Linked DNA regions of Rattus norvegicus. The protein of the gene in region 1 interacts with the protein of each later gene in a pairwise test. Links are inferred from orthologs where the notes say so. Each region holds a gene or a part of one and is shown on either strand. Other genes may lie near its edges. The genes, in order: Mcmbp, Asl, Ddit3 and Prtfdc1.

Region 1 (3,561 bases):
CTCTGCCTCAAGTGCTGGAATTAGAAGTGCACACCACACACCCAGCTAGGGCCTGGCCTTTCACTCCACCATATTGGGTTTTTGGGTTGGTTTGGGATTTGTTTTTGTTTTTGTTTTGTTTTTTGTTTTTTTGTTTTTTGTTTTGTTTTTTTTTGTTGTTGTTGTTGTTGTTGAGACAGGGTGTCTTGGAGCTGTCTTGGAACTCACTCTGTAGACCAGGCTTCCCTTGAACTCAGAGATCCGTCCACCTGCCTCTGCCTCCTGAGTGCTGAGATTAAAGCACCACTACCTGGCAGGTTTTTTGGTTTTTTTTCCCCCCCAAAAAGAAAAGCAAGAAGAAAATTATCTTTCACGTGGGCAACAGTTTTCCCATCTAATACTCGAGCATATTCTTTGGTTTATGTTGTAATGTGGGCCCATCAGTTGTGGTTGAAGCACACACATCCTTACCTGCTTTTTAGATTTAATATTTAGTTAGCCTATCACAATACTTTTTTTTTTTTTCTCTCTTTGAGATAGGTTTTGTTATGTAGTCCTGGCCTAGAATGTTCTATGTAGACCAGGCTGGCCTGGAACTACATCAAGATCCTTCAGCTTCTGTCTCCTGGGTGCTAGGATTAAGGGCATGCCACCATAGTCAGCCTTCTTCCTAAGCTTTCTAATGACCTGATGTTCTCTCATTATAGATTTGTGCCATACTGTAACCATTTCCCAAAACATTAGGATTTTGTACTTTTTTTAATAAATGCTGTGATAGAAAGCATCTTATCTCCTGTCCCCTGGTGGCAGCTAAGATGGCGGGTAATGCTCAGGGTCACATCAGAGCTCTGTCTTGGCTTGACTAGACATCCCTCATGGAAAAGCACGGAACTCAGGAAGTCTGCCGTGCCTGCGTCATAGGCACACTGTTGAAGTGAGATGGTGAGGCAGTGACCACCAGCTCATGTCAGCCAGGCCTAGCCAGTAAATCTGCAAATGTTGTAAAGCACTTCAGGTCTCAGCATTTTGGATAAGGGATGCTCTCCCCATTCCTCAAAGTGGCTATTATTTAACTGCCGTTCTGATAGATAAAAAATGTCTATTTTTACCTTATATGTATGGCTATTTTGTCTGCATATCTGTGCATGCAGTGCCTGTAGAAGTCAGAAGACGGCATCTTCCTAGAACTGGAGTTACAGGCGGTTGTGAGCTATTCCGTGGGCCTGGGACTTGAACCCTGGTCCTCTGGAAGAGCAGCCAGTGCTCTAACTACTAAGCCATCTCTCTGCTTCTGCAAACTTTATAATGATGGCGTCTCAGTATCTTACCCTTGGTTTTGTGTTCTTTCCCTTCTCCTAGGTATACAAGAAGAGATGTACTTCCACTGGGAAAATTTACAGTTAACCTGAGTGGTTGCCCACAGAACAGCACCTTCACGGAACACCTATATCGGATCATCCAACATCTTGTTCCAGCAGTAAGATAATATTATGAAGGCTTATGAGTGGGACAAACCCAATTGTTTTCCACTCACCTTGAGTATTAACTTTATGTTCCTAGTGGGTCTCATTTACAAAGGACAAGACCTGCCAATTGACATAATTTAAAATGCACCCAGCATTCACTGATTGACCCAGCACAAATCTGTAATCTAAAAATTAACGCAGTGGCAGTGACTCCCTTAGAATTACGTTTCCAGTCTGTGTGAGTTTGTTCCTTTGTGTGCATATTATGAAGTGTAAAGAAGCTTTAAATCATAGGAGCCTGGTTCTCTCAGCTGAGGTAATAAAGTGGCCCATCTCCACGCCCCAGGGCTTGTTGCTATCTGGAAGCATCTGGAATGCACATTTGTGTCAGGATCTCAAGGACCGGATTTACTCTGATAACTAAAAATTTTGGCCACTTTGGGACTTAAGAAGTGAAGCCAGGTCCTTCTGAACAGCCTGTCGAGTCTGCACTTCAAGCCCTGCAGAAGCAGCAGAGTCCTGAGGATTTTGAGCCTCTTATTCAGTGGGCTGTGCTTTCACTAATGTCTGACATTAGTAATTAAGACTGAAGACATGTTGAGTAATTCATTAGGAAATAGTGGTAAAACTGACAGTGTCTTGCATTTTGCCGTGCTCTTGAGTGTCTAAATTAATAGACTATTTTGGTTAAAAAAAAAAAAAAAGAGGGGGAATTATTTTATCCCACGCTAGCCGGACCGTAGGACCACATGGCACCTGCAGGATATTCTCATCTCAGTCAGCAAGGGGTCTCGCCCGCTAAGCTCCATCCCATCTCACACTGCCGAGGCTACTCTGAGCCTGGCAGCAGTCTCTCTACCATCTAGTTCCCAAGGCGAGTCTCTGCCATGCCAGTTTCATGCAGAGACCGCCTGTCTCGCAGCTCTCTTCCTGTGGACTCTGCTCACATTCCCAGCATCCACCCCCTGGTCCCAGCAGCAGCTATCCTCTGGTAACGCTCGGCCACTGCTCTGTTTACGTTCCCAACATCTGCCCCCTAATAGTTATGATATAAACTCCCAACCACCCCTTAAAATCAAGACTCAACAAACTGCAACCCAACATCAGATTTATATCTCAGTCCATAATACAATAAACTCACAACCAATTGATAAGGATATAAACTGCCCAACTAGATAAGATAAATTTGCCTACAGAAACCCATCCCAACTCCCTTAGCAATTCAGGACCACCGGGATCTGGGTCATCCTCTGTCTCCATCTTGATTCTCCCTCCTTCTCCTTCTGTCCTGCCTTACAAAAGCTTTGTCCCCACCTTATATTTTACTGTCCAATCGTGGCCTTGACCTAACTGGTGCTGTCCCTCACCTGCATGTAGACATCAACCTACAGGAGACCCCTAGGTTTTCTGTTCTGCTTCCACATTTGCCCCTGCGGTGCTGTTTTTATCTGGTCTGTTTCTTAGCTGAGGTGCATGATCTGAAAGCCTGTCTGTCAGTGGAGTTTGCACATCTCTGTGGTAAAGCCTGTTCTGTCTGTAAACGTGACTCATTCATAGACCCGGAAATAGGATCTTAGCGGTTCCCTAGGCCATGTCTCCTGAGATTGCTTCTCTGTCCTCAGAACTTCCTGGTTTTGAGGTATAAAATCAAATTGCTGGTGTGTGCTTTAAATATTCTCAGCAGAACAGTGAAGCCCTGGAAATGGGATAGCAGACACTGGCATAAGACATATGCCCATCTCTCCAATAGGGTCTGAGACTCAGTCTGGAGCAGAACTGGTGACTGCCTGGGGGGTCATGTCCTCCTACATAGAAAACAGGCAATCTAAGGAGCAGCATGGGCCTGTGTAAGGGATGCCAGCAGAGGCTGGTGCAGTACCACTCTCAGACACAAGATGGCGCCAGAGACCATCTATGTCTCAGCTGTGCAGCCAGGATTACATCTTTACCTGGGGGAGGGAGGGTGGAGGAAAGGGCTTAGAGGGTCTCTTTTCCTTATTTTGCATTTCATTGACTGTCTGCCCTTTCGTCACTCTTAGCACACTGGCCCCAGCCCTTCTCAGTGCTTTTCTCTCTGGAATGGAACATTCAGCTTCTACTGCTTATTACATGTGTC
Region 2 (4,099 bases), on another chromosome or scaffold:
AGCATTTGGGGAGCATGCGCAGTAGTTGCTAGAGTGCCCGTGTCACACAATGTGGGACTTTAGTCAAACTCGCATGCCTTGTAAATGCTTAAGACTTCTGGCACAGCTCGGAAACGGAGCTCTTGCTTAGAATCTATGAAATGAGGGACTGCTGGCATGGCTCAGAGTAGAGCCCTTTCAGAGTAAGAAGAACAGACAGTCTCACTCTCATCCTGCTAGTATCCCCCTAGGAAACCTCAAGCTCTGGTTCTTCCCTAAGGAGAAAGTTTAAGCAAACTTAGGAGAAACCCAGGGATACAGTTGGTAGAGTGCTTGTTAGTATGCGTGAAGTTCTGAGTTTGATTCTCAAGGCTCCTTAAGGCTCCTTAAAGCTCGCATAGCGGCTCGTGCCTGGATCCTCAGCCCCCAGGAGGTGGAAGCAGGGTCAGAAGTTCCAGGTTAATCCTCCCTCAGCTACATAGGTGAGTTCAAGGTGGGACTAGGCTATATAAGACCCTGAGTCAAGTAAACAAAATGAATGAAAAATATTTAGGAGAGTTAACTAGAGACATCATCACCATCATCACCACCATCATCATATTCATTCATTCTCTCTCTCTCTCTCCTCTCCTCTCCTCTCCGCTCCTCTCCTCTCCTTTCTCTCTTTTGGTTTTTTGTGACAGGCTCTGTGTAACCCTGGCTATCCTGGAATTCCCTCTGTAGACCAGGCTGGCCTTGAACTCGCAGATCTGCCTGCCTCACCTCCTAGGTGCTGGGATTAAAAGCATGCGCCACCACTGTCCAGGGAGGCATCACCTCTATGTGAGTGGAATAAAAAAGTATCAGTAACCGTGAATGTTTCCTCTGTTGTGTGTGTTGAGGCAAGAAAGAACTCTCTATGTAGCTAGACTTGAATTCACTGTGTTGTTCAGGCTGGCCAGAAATTTGACATTCTCCTGCCTCAGTCTTCCAAGGGCTGGATTGACATGTGTGTACCTGGCAATATCTTGAGTTCTAACAGTATTATAGGCACAGTGTTAAATATTTTATATGGATAGTTTTTTTTTTTTTTAATTCTCACGAGCACATCTAAAAGGCGGCTCGGATAATCACCAAGTTCCTCCAGGTGAAGAAAGGAGAGTCTAGGAGAGAAGGAATAATTTGCCTAAAGACACCAAGACAGGAAGTGTGAGGGCTAGACGCCACATCTAGGCATCTCGCATCTAGGCATCTCGGACAAACGTTAACATCTGTCTGGGAAAGCTCTCCAAGATCTGGCCGAGGGATCACATTAATGAACAACCGGTTAACAGGGTTGCCACCGAGCCTCACATGACAATCACCTGCCTTTGCAGTCCCTGGGAAGAAAATAAACACTTGGCAAGGGAAGGCTGGGTGGGGAAACAGCTCAGCGAGAAAGTGCTGTCCAAGCATCCCCAGTACTGCTTGGGCGGTGGAGACAGGAAGATAGAGAGTATGAGGGAATCCTTGGCTACATAGCCAGCCTGAGGCCAGCCTGGGCTCCTCAAGACCTTGAGTCAAAGCAAACAAAACCCAAAACAAAAGCCAGGTAGTTGAAGACATTCACTGGCTATCAACCAGGTTGAGCTCACTGCGCAGGTGCCTAGGTGGAGGCCATTTGAACACGGGTACCAGCCGATTTCCCTGCTTGCATTCCTTCCTCTCTGAATCATTTTGTGGTGGGGCTCTCCAAGGCAGTAGCCTGTCTTCTATGAGTCTATCTCTGAAGCCTTGGCTTTGAACGACCCTCTTTCCACACACCTCAAACACTCCTGGCTTTGGGACGCCTCTTTGTCCATGTTAGTCATTCTCCTGTCTATGCTAGAGTCTAAACAGAGTGTGTCATAGTGATTTATGCCCTGCACTGGTCCCCTTACTGGGTTCTCAGCTAGCATGGAGAGTGTGTATTATTCATGTCTGAATCACCAGTGCCTGAGGGGGGAGGCAATCATTGTAAGATGGTTGACCGACTAACACCATGAACACCATTGTGGGACACACACACACACACACACACACACACACACACACACACACTGGTTTTTATGAGACAGGGTTCTCATGTAGCCTCAGGTGGCCTCAAACTCCCCATGTAGCTGAAGAGGATTATGAAAAACTGACTTTCTCGCCTCCATCTCCAAAGTGGAGGGATTACAGGTATGTGTCATCATACCAGACACCACCCCCCACTTACCAAAAAACAAAACAAAACAAAACTCAAACACAATCACCCGCAAACCATTTTAACATGGCTGAGCAGTGGGGGCTCACACCTTTAATCTCAGCACTGGGAGGCAGAGGCAGGCAGATCTCTGAGTTTGAAAGGCTAAGTAATGAAAATCTGTCTTCCCCATCCCAAATTTTAACGGTTGTATGGGGAAAAGGATCTCTACGTAGTCTAAATTGACTAGAACTCACCATGTTGCCCAGACTGTCTTCAAACTCAAGGCATTCCCCCTGCCTCAGCCTCCTAAGTGCTTAAACTATCTCTCCAGCTCTGTCTCTGTCTTTTGAGACTGGGTTTCTCTGCCTCCCTCTTTCCCCCTTGCTGGAATTAGAGGATTGTGCGACCATACCTGGCTTCTGTTTTTTGTTTTTTTAAACACAAGGTCTCAAACAGCTTCGGATGGCTTGAAAGTAATTAGGTAGGTCAGGCTGGCCAGAAACTCATGACAATTCTCCTGTCTCGGCCTCTCTAGTGCTAGGATTACAGGTGTGGGGCTGCATGCCTGGTTTAGGGATTTTTAACGTGGCCAAGGCAAACCCTAACAAAACCTACACTATGAAAACACCCGACAAGCTGAAATTAGACCAAGGTAGGAACACCTAGAATTAAGGAGGATCCGGGCGAGCCCTGCAGCGATCCCGGCATGCACCACGGCGGTCCCAGAGTGCCTTGCGGCACACACACAGAAACGGTGAGCAGAGCAGAGCTGGCGTAACGTGAGGTTCTTCTCTTCCAGCGGTTGTGTACGACGAGGCAGAGGCAACATGGAAGTGTAAGCGACACGTCCAGGGGAAAGCAGAATCAGCTGGGGACTGTGAGGCGGCTGGCGGCTAGACCTCCGGACCCGCGAGCAGGGCGGGTGGGCGGGGTGCACGGACCGGAAGTGCATGGAGGTGGGGCGGCAGGGGAGGGACCCTGCTGGTGTTGGAACCCGCTCTCCTCCGGTATCTTTTGGGGAGGGGAATGTTGGAAGGATAGAGAGGGGTTTTATTTTTTCTCTTTCTTCTGGTTCTGGGAATGAAACCCAAGACCTTGCACGTGCTCTGGAAGTAGTGTGACCCTGAGATGCGTGCCAGTCACAATCATCTTGTGATGTGGGCTCTGCATGTGCTCGGGGAAACACTCTACCACTGAGTCAGATCCCCAGCCATCAGCACCGCCATCATTGTTTTGTAATGGTGGAAATGGTACCCAGGACTTTGCTAGGCAAAGCCTTTGCCACTGACCTGCATCGCCATCCGTTATCGCCGTGTTCTTTTGGAAATTGGTACCCAGGGTCGTGAAAGTACTGGCTGTGCTAGTTTTCTTTCAGTTACTGTGACAAACACCATGACCAAAAGTAATCTAGGGGTAGAAAGGGTTTATTACATCTTAAACTTCCAGGACACAGTTCATTATGGAGGGAAGTCAGGGCAAGAACTCAGACAGGAAACTGAAGCTTCAGACCAGTTCAAGAACTCTCTCTGGTTTACTCTCTGTGTTTTCTAACTTCTTTATGAAGCAGTCCATGGATGGTGGCACCTGCCGCGGTCTGTATAACCCCTCATCCCTTTTATTTTTTATTTCTATTTATTTGGGGGGGGGTGTTGGGGCTTGCGTAGTCGTGGCTTTCCTGGAACTAGCTCTGTCGATCAGGCTATCCTTCAACTCCCAGAGATAGGCCTGCCTCTCCCTCCCAAGTGCTGGGATTAAAGGCCTGTGCCACCATCAGTTGGCCAGGCGGTACCCTCCTGCATCATTTAATAATCGGGACAGTCCCTCGTGGACACGCCCATAGAACAACTTGGTAAAAGACAGTTTATCATTGAGGCTTCTTTAGAGGATTCTAGGCTGTTTCAAGTTGACAGTTAAGATTAACCAGGAAAGCAGGCA
Region 3 (4,140 bases), on another chromosome or scaffold:
AAAACAAACCAGTTGCCATTTTTGAGGCTGACTTTGAGACAAGCCAGCTCTAAAACAACATTATGGGATCAGAGAAAGACATGGTCTGACAGCAAAAGCTGGTTCTGGTCAAGGCCTGGTCTAACTCTCATCCCAGCAAAGCAAGTTGAGCAGCATTAGGAGCTGACTGGGAGGGTGGCTAAGATTACCTGCTTTCAGGTGTGGTGGTGTATGAAGATGCACTTCCTTCTGGAACACTGTGGAGAAAGGGGAAGAAACAGGTCCTTTACCTCTAGCCTCTTACTGGTCTTTCTCTAGCTGGTTTCTTAATTTCTGTCATTGGATTTTGAGACAGTTTCTCTGTGAAGCCCGGGGCATCCTGGAATTCTGGAACTCAACTCTGTAGACCAGGCCACAGAGAGGCTCGTGTGTGTGTGTGTGTGTGTGTGTGTGTGTGTGTGTGTGTGTGTGTGTGTCCCTGAAGCCAAGGACAGGCATGCTTAACTTTATTTTTAGTTGCTGACATTTGTAGTCCTGATTACATAATAGCAAAGTCCTGGCCAACTAAGTTTTCTCTAAATCCAGATAGACCTCAGATCTGCCAAAGTGAGAACTAAAATACAGGGAAGAGAGATTTCAGCAGTATTTGCTTAAACTCCATTCCCATCCTAGCCTCCAGACCTGCCCTGGGATCTCCATCTCTTTTGGTTGTTGAGCAGGCATTCAGCTTACACAAAAGGCCTTTCCTACCAAGGGGGTACAGTTCTTACTAAATGGCAACTATAGGTGCCTAAAGCCAAACATTTGGTATCCTTAATTCCTCCCTTCTCAGATACCACAGCTCAGTCTAAAGCACTGGCAACTTCAATATTCTTTAGAAGTACCCAAAACCTAAATATTTCTCACTTTTTCTCATTATTTCCAGATGTAAACTTACCATGCATTATGCATTTCATTCCCTAGATTATTTTTGGAAGCCTTGAAATCTTTTTTTTTTTTTTTTTTTTTTTTTTTTTAGACAGGGTCTTGCTGTGTAGCTTTTGCTGTCCTGGAACTTACTTTGTAGACTAGCTGGCTTTGAACTCTGATCTACCTACCTTTCAAGTGCTGGGGTTAAAGGCATTTGCCATTATTTCCAGCTAAGATCTCCTGTTTCTATTCTTGTCTTTTTTATTTTCATGGCTGCGGGTTGACCTAGGGCCCTCTACATACTAGGCAAGCAGTCTACTATTGAGCTACACACTCAACCCTTTGTTTTTGTATTTATTTTGAGTTAGGATCTGACTATGCTGGCCTGGAGCTCAGAGCTCTGCCTGCTCCTACCTCTTTGAGTGTTGGAATTAAATGCATGGGGTCTTTCCCCAACCCTTTTAATTTAGGACATTCCTCTGCTCAGATCCCCCAATGGATTCCTGTTTCAGGACTGTTGAAAGACTAGCATCCTGAGAATGCTTGCAAGGCTCTACAGGACCTGCTACTTGAGTTTCCATTCACCACCCTCTCCTGCTTACTCTAGTCCAGCTCACTGCCCTGCTCCTAAGGATACTGGCACACTCATCTCAACCCTTCTGCTCCTTCTCTCCCTTCTATAAACCTCTTCCACATTACCTGCTTGGCTCACAGGCTTGCCTTCTTTCCATCTCACCCACCCACTGAGGCAATTCCTGAATGATAAAACCTCTAGCCACCATCCTGAACTATTTTTTCCCTGCTTCTGTTTTTCCCCCCTTTTGCTTTACATTGAAATGTAAGTTTTATTGAGAACAGTTTCGTCTTTTGCTTCTAATATACCCTGGATCCCCAAATGCTTGGCACATAGTGGGTGCTTATTAGGCATTTGTTAGGAACGAATAGAGAACAACTAAGCCCACTGAGCCCAAAGGCAGAGCTGAGCTGCCTGTCTCTGGGGACTGCAGACGCAATATTGCCCTGAGTGTTTCTCTGCAGGGTTGTCCTCTAGGGAAAACTCCTTGGTCTTCCAGTGTGTGGGACCTGGCTTTCATCAGCAGAGGAGCCCCAGGCCTGAGGGTGCAGAGACAAACAGTGGGCTGGCCTGATGCAACGGTTACAGAGATTAGTTGGGAGACAGGACTGAGGAAAGAAGCAGAGATCAGTCCTAAGAGAAGCAGAAGACCCTGGAGAGATCCCAAGTAATTTCCCATAGTTAAAGAGACCCAGGCTGCTCTCTTGTACGGAAACCCAGAAACCTCTGGGGAAAAGGGAAAAACCCATCTATGCTCCTCCCACCGGCACCCCCACTCGCAAAGATCTGTCAGTCTTTGAGTTGTCTTGAACGTTAGAGACAGCTACTAAAGTGGCCATGTTGGTGGTCCCTGAGGCGCTTCAGCTTGAAAGAGTTGGGGGGAATGAGGCTGGTGGAGAAGAGGTGCTAACAGCCGGAGTCCCCAACATTGGGGGGTGTGTCCTGTTGCCCCACCTTTCCTGCGAACCGCCTAGGCCTAAGATGGCCCGCAAATGGTCAGTACTGAGACAAATTTCCGAAGGCAACCGGAGTCCCTTTGCAGAGCAGGGACCAACCTGAGACAAGGGAACGGGAATGCAATCGCCCAAAGAGGTGGCCTGTAAGCACCATTCCCGAATCAGGAATTACCCGCCTTCACTCGCCCCTCAGTCTACAAACTCACAGTGGAAGGGGTGGGGCTACACCCTCAAGGACAGTTGCCTCTAACTTTGTGGAATAGCTATGTTGGCGAGGATGGGAAAGTAAGGGGTAGACGGAGTCAGTACTCGCCTCTCTCCTCAGGTTCCGGCTGTTATTTTGGCTCTGTCGCTGCCACCCGCTCATCTTCAACATGGTATGATCGACGTATTAGACTCAAGATACTGACCTCTGGAGCGGAGAGCGAGTATCTTTTATGCTATTCGGTCCCTCCTGGGGGGGGGTAGTGTCCAGGAGCCTACCAATCAGAAAGCGGCACGCTGGCACAGGCTCCGCCTCACCCCTCACGTCCGCCACTCAGGAGTCCCGTGGCCCCGCCTCCATCGCGCCCTCTGGCTCGAGAGTCTACGTTATCTCGGACCCGGAAGTGGCTTTGGGTCACGAGGCTTCGCAGAGGAGGTGAGTGAGTCATGCGCGCGCGCGGAGGAGAGTGCGGCGAGGGAGGGGATGACGTGGGGGGGGCGGAGGGGGAGCGGGGATGATGCAATGTTTGGCAACCGGTGTCCGCGCGCGCACGCGCAGGAGACGTCGATGGTGGTGGGAGGTGCTGGGGAGCGGGCGGGAGGGGGGGATGGGGGAGAGAGGAAAGAAGGCGGAGCGCCAGCTCACAGTGTCCAACGGCCCCAACGGCTGTCCTTCCTGAACTTGTCTGCCCACCTCCCATCACCTTTAACTTACTCCTCCATAAAAGACTCATTTTCCCTGGCCCCTCCCAACTAATGGGCACCGAGGCTCTTGAACCTCTTTAAAGTTTCCAATTTGTTCACCTGGATTGACATCTTCTGGAGTCTTTTAAGAGACCTCCTCCTCTTTTAGCCTTCTAACGCTTCCCAAAGACTGAGGTACTGGCATTTCCTTGGTAGTCCATCCGCTTCTCTCAGAAGGGCAGCTTTAACGTTTGTTTCAGAATCGTCCACTGCGTGCCAGAATTCAAGTTCTTTGTAGAGTGTAGCCTCCTGCCTACTTATCCTACCCCTGCTTTGTGTGATGCTCTTATGCCCTTCACTAAGCCCAATACCCACCCTTTTCCTTCTCCAAGATAGCAAGTCCTGTGACTCCCTGCTGATTAGCTGGCCTCATGCCTCTAGGTGTCTGGGTTCACGACCTAGAGACTGGGACGTGCATGCACTTGAGCGCATGATTGCCTGGACTGGGTCATTCTAGTTTAATTTGCCCAAGGAATCTACCGTACTCAGTTGTAAATTAAAGAATGATAGGTAAAGGTAAAAACAGCACTGTGAAGAAAACTTGAGTAAAAGTAAAAACATCTTGCAAAACCTATTTTTTGTGCCATGAAAACAGAGGCCATGTGGTGGCCTATTACATAGTCTGTCGTACACTCGGGAGGGGCAAGCCAGAGTTTGTCTAAGTAGAAACTGAACCAAGACCGGTTGCTATTGGATGGTGCGACAGTGACAGGTCCTTGGCCAGACTGCTCCTTCGCTCCAGACCTTCATTTCCCCTTCTGTTAGTAGAGGTTG
Region 4 (4,133 bases), on another chromosome or scaffold:
TTCGAATTTTACTAAGTCTTATTGGAGAAATTAACATATGCAGAGGGTGTTTCTGTCATACACTGGTTATCGTCAACGTTAGGGGGCACTTGGGCAGTTCAGCAACTACTCACAGTGCCCAAGCCTCACTCTAGCTTCTTCTCTCCTTATTGACCTCTTGCTATGCCCATGGGTCCTTCATAAGGCCTCTGTAGACACAAATAGATAGGAATATTGTGTTTACAGTTTTTCTCATTTTAGGCTTTTTAGACTTTAGTAATCTAAGCATCCTATGAGTACATCTAGATTTATCTCCTTTTGATTTTTAATAATCTGTGGTGATGGGGATGGGTTTTATATGAGCTACACCTCAAGCTGGATTGTGCCACTTGACTTTGGAAGCATCTAGCATCTATGGTACAGTGGCACTCTAGATTTCACAATTTGAAAGGCGTTCCACATTGCCGTGGTACTGTAAGTAGACTGGCCACGAGGTGGCTATTTGAAAGGTGCTCCTCGAGTTGGGGATTTAGCTCAGTGGTAGAGCGCTTGCCTAGGAAGTGCAAGGCTCTGGGTTTGGTCCCCAGCTCCGAAAAAAAAAAAGAACCAAAAAAAAAAAAAAAAAAGAAGAAGAAGAAGAAAGGTGCTCCTCACTAATGGCCTCTGGTCATCCCCATCCGACTTGCTCTTCCGGCAACATCAGACACTCTTGACGATCTCATGACCCTGGCTAGTCCACTTCCGTCAAACTGTTCCCTAGACATCGACTCCTCTCCTGCTTGCTTTCTCCCATCCAGCGCTTCATTCTTGGTGGGCTTTGTGTCCACCATGTGCCTCTCACATCTGGGGGCGTTCCGGGCGTTTGTTCTTTTTTTTTTTTTTTTTTTTGGTTCTTTTTTTCGGAGCTGGGGTCCAAACCCAGGACCTTGCGCTTCCTAGGTAAGCGCTCTACCACTGAGCTAAATCCCCAGCCCCCCGGGCGTTTGTTCTTCACTCCTTCTTCTTCTTCTTTTTTTTTTTTGTTGTTGTTCTTTTTTTCCGGGAGCTGGGGACCGAACCCAGGGCCTTGCGCTTCCTAGGCAAGTGCTCTACCACTGAGCTAAATCCCCAACCCCGGGCGTTTGTTCTTAACAGTTGATTTTATTTCTCCCAGTTTATTTTATTCCATTCTTCATTTATCCCCCAAACTAACCTGACAATGGTTTTCCAAATCTACCTTAGTACATTCTGGAGTCGTTTCAAGTATGACTTTCAGGTTGCGAACCTTAAAGATGTCATTTGGGAGGCAGTTAGCTTAATGACTTCCTCTTTCATATTTTCTTTTTTTCTTTCTTTCTTTCTTTCTTTCTTTCTTTCTTTCTTTCTTTCTTTTTTTCCCAGAGCTGAGGTCCGAACCCGGGGCCTTGCGCTTGCTAGGCAAGCGCTCTACCACTGAGCTAAATCCCCAACCCCCATCTTTCATATTTTCACCCCCTCCCACCGGGTCTATCATACCCACAGCGACTGGAGTGTTTTTATTGTAAAAGCACAAATCAGAAACTGTGTTCTCCTCTCTGCCCTTGACATGTGTCTCTGTGCCATGGGTCCTCACATGGTTTACCTTCCGTTTCTGTTTCTGATCTTGGGTGAAATGTCACTGCAGACTCTTTGATCATATGGGTAAAGACACTGCTCCCCTCCCCTTTCCAGGAATGGCTGGCTGAACTATCCAGACTGTGTTTTCACAGGGCTTCCCTGTGCCCCTTCCCAGAATGCAAGTTCCAGGAAGAAGAGTTTATCTGGTTACCAGGTGTAGGAGCAGAACCTGGCACGGCAGACAAAAGGCATTCCTCCTTGAGGGAAGGAAGGTCCTGCTGTTTAATTGAGAGCTGAGCCCCACCTTTCAACCTGAACAGTTCTATTTAACTGAGAGGTGTTTCCTTCCCAACCCACTCATTCTAATTAAATCCATTCATTTCCATAAACAGATTAGCTGCGAATTACACGCTGAGCTCTGGAAAGAGGATCTTAATGGTAAATCAGCCCCGCCCACCACCTTCACACCTTTTCACCCCATCCTGGACTCACAACTACCATCCGCTAGAGTTTAATTTCAATATTGTGGGAGCTGGGAGCCCTCGGGCTGACACCTGAATGAACGATCCCTGAAGTTGAAGAGGTTTGGACCTGGCCCCACTTCCATCCTGACACACTACTGGGTTTTTCACACATCAAGTTTGTCTTCCGTCACAGACAAGGCATAGGACACTCTAGCTGCTGGCTTCGGCAGAGCCGCGCCCCAGATTCAGAGTTCCGATTGCATTCACTAGCGCTACTTTGCACCTTGGCTGCCCTGAAGAGTGAGTTCTCAGTGGCCGTTTTCAAAACAGAACTCAAAACTCACTGAAGTGAGGAGGCAGTGCTAAAAGGAAGGCCACTAGAGCTGCGTGCTGGGGATCTTCCTAAACCCCGGCTGGCAGGCTAGAGTCCTTGTGGATAGCAGAAGTGGGGACCCGGTAGGAGGCTGGCTTCCAGGCCAGGAACCCGCGGGGAGGGTGGGAAGGGAGGAGTTATTGGGAACTCTGGATGAAGGAGTGATTTTAGTAGGAGTTTCGTCAGACCGGGTGGAGAAGGGAGGCCTGGATGCGAGAAAACCAGCGGTCTCCGCCCGGAGGAGGAACAAAGCCTTGGCCGGTTCTCTCCCGAACGCTTGTCAGCTAAAGGGTTGGGGGGCGGGAGTGGAGGGGTGCCCCGAAGGGAGGAGAGGGGAGGGGAGAGAGCTAAGGGAGCCGGGAATCCGGAGTTCGCATTTACCACGACGCCTCGCCCGGAGTCTGGCGCCTTCTCACTGCTCCCGGCCATGTCTCTCGCTGGGAACGCCGGACGGACAGCGCCCGGAGGATGTGGGGGCGGGGGGGGGGGATGTGGCTGGGGCTGCCCCGCCCCCAGCCTGCGGGCGGGAAAGCTGGGGCTACAGTCGAGGCCCATTCCCGGGGCGGCGCGGGAGCAGCTGTGGAGCAGCGCCTGATGCACCTGAGCGCGCTCCGGGGAGCGTCCCTGGCGGCCCCCCGCCTGCCCCTTTGCCGGCTCCGCACCCCGCGGGGATATGGGTCAGGCCTGCGATTCGTTCTGGAGAGAAAGCCGTCCCTTGTTATTTTCCTTCTCAAAGCCCATCGCTGCAGCCCCCAGGCCAGCAATTTCCAAGACTCCTCCCTGCCAGATTTTAAATGCACATTTGTCCCCAGTCAATGCATTAAAGAGAGGCAGTGCAGCGCGTTCTGGGCTTTGGAAGTGGGCCGGAGTATCCCGGAGGACTTCAGATCTTGGCGCCCTGCCAGGAGTTGGAAAGCGCCACGAGCCGGCATTTCCTCCGACCAAATCCTGGTGATCCGATGAGCCCAGGGCAGGGACTTTTTACAAAATACTGTATCTGATTTACCATTTTACTCTAATTGTCCTAGGTTGTAGCTAAAGGCAATTGCTCTGCTCTGATTAGAAAGCCTTGTTTTATGAATCTGTTGTTAAACCAACCCCTAATCCCAGGTTTCTTCTAGCCCAGCGACCTGGTCCTTTGTTCTTTCCTCTAAGGTCCTGCTTTCTGTTTATAGTCCTTGGTCTCCCTCATCTTGCCAGAGCCTGCCCACGGCCCACTTTGGGTTTAATAAAGGGTATACATGGGTATAGTTCTTTTGACTCTGTCTTCTCCAAAAGATGTTTGCTAGGATAGAGTATAGCTCAATGATAGAGCATTTGCCTAGGATGTGAAAGGCCACGGGGGTTGTAAACACAGCAACACACACATACATGCATACGTACACGCGCGCACGCCTCAACACAATGGCTTCTTCACTCTTTGGCTAAGATCAAGTGCCAAAAAGATCTATTCGATTTTCGTTTTCTGGCACACATTGGCAAGAGGAATACCGATTGTGTTGCTTTGAAGGGAACAAGTTACCTATCAATTCATGTTGCCCTGAATTGGAATAATTGTGTAATAATATTGTACTTATTTTTGGTGGACCAGCCATGCTCAGCACTTTGGCTGTTAATGTTTAAGCAGCCGAACTGTGGAAGAAGAGGGGTACAAGGTGTGGGCTCCCTGACATTAGTCCCTGGGCTTGGTGCTGGCTGCATCAATGTGATGTTCTCTAGCACACAGGTAAATAGTTTCAGTC

Evidence for each region.
Region 2: the proteins of Mcmbp (region 1) and Asl interact in binary tests that used the Homo sapiens proteins (3 or more experiments, as listed by UniProt). The two-hybrid records come from large-scale screens. The link is inferred for Rattus norvegicus from reciprocal best matches to the Homo sapiens genes MCMBP and ASL.
Region 3: the proteins of Mcmbp (region 1) and Ddit3 interact in binary tests that used the Homo sapiens proteins (3 or more experiments, as listed by UniProt). The two-hybrid records come from large-scale screens. The link is inferred for Rattus norvegicus from reciprocal best matches to the Homo sapiens genes MCMBP and DDIT3.
Region 4: the proteins of Mcmbp (region 1) and Prtfdc1 interact in binary tests that used the Homo sapiens proteins (3 or more experiments, as listed by UniProt). The two-hybrid records come from large-scale screens. The link is inferred for Rattus norvegicus from reciprocal best matches to the Homo sapiens genes MCMBP and PRTFDC1.

What each region holds. Positions count from the first base shown.
Region 1 is NC_086019.1:192,709,355-192,712,915, reverse strand, and holds part of Mcmbp (mini-chromosome maintenance complex-binding protein), read left to right. Parts: intron 1-1,338; coding exon 1,339-1,456; intron 1,457-3,561. UniProt on the Homo sapiens protein: Associated component of the MCM complex that acts as a regulator of DNA replication.
Region 2 is NC_086030.1:32,294,646-32,298,744, reverse strand, and holds the start of Asl (argininosuccinate lyase), read right to left. Parts: upstream 2,838-4,099; 5' UTR 2,577-2,837; intron 1-2,576.
Region 3 is NC_086025.1:65,000,384-65,004,523, reverse strand, and holds the start of Ddit3 (DNA damage-inducible transcript 3 protein), read right to left. Parts: upstream 2,830-4,140; 5' UTR 2,795-2,829; coding exon of another isoform or gene 2,732-2,794; intron 237-2,731; coding exon of another isoform or gene 195-236; 5' UTR 189-194; intron 1-188. Other genes in the region: uncharacterized LOC128125814 homolog, read right to left, coding at 195-236, 2,732-2,794. UniProt on the Homo sapiens protein: Multifunctional transcription factor in endoplasmic reticulum (ER) stress response. Plays an essential role in the response to a wide variety of cell stresses and induces cell cycle arrest and apoptosis in response to ER stress.
Region 4 is NC_086035.1:88,559,922-88,564,054, forward strand, and holds the start of Prtfdc1 (phosphoribosyltransferase domain-containing protein 1), read right to left. Parts: upstream 2,821-4,133; coding exon 2,773-2,820; intron 1-2,772. UniProt on the Homo sapiens protein: Has low, barely detectable phosphoribosyltransferase activity (in vitro). Binds GMP, IMP and alpha-D-5-phosphoribosyl 1-pyrophosphate (PRPP). Is not expected to contribute to purine metabolism or GMP salvage.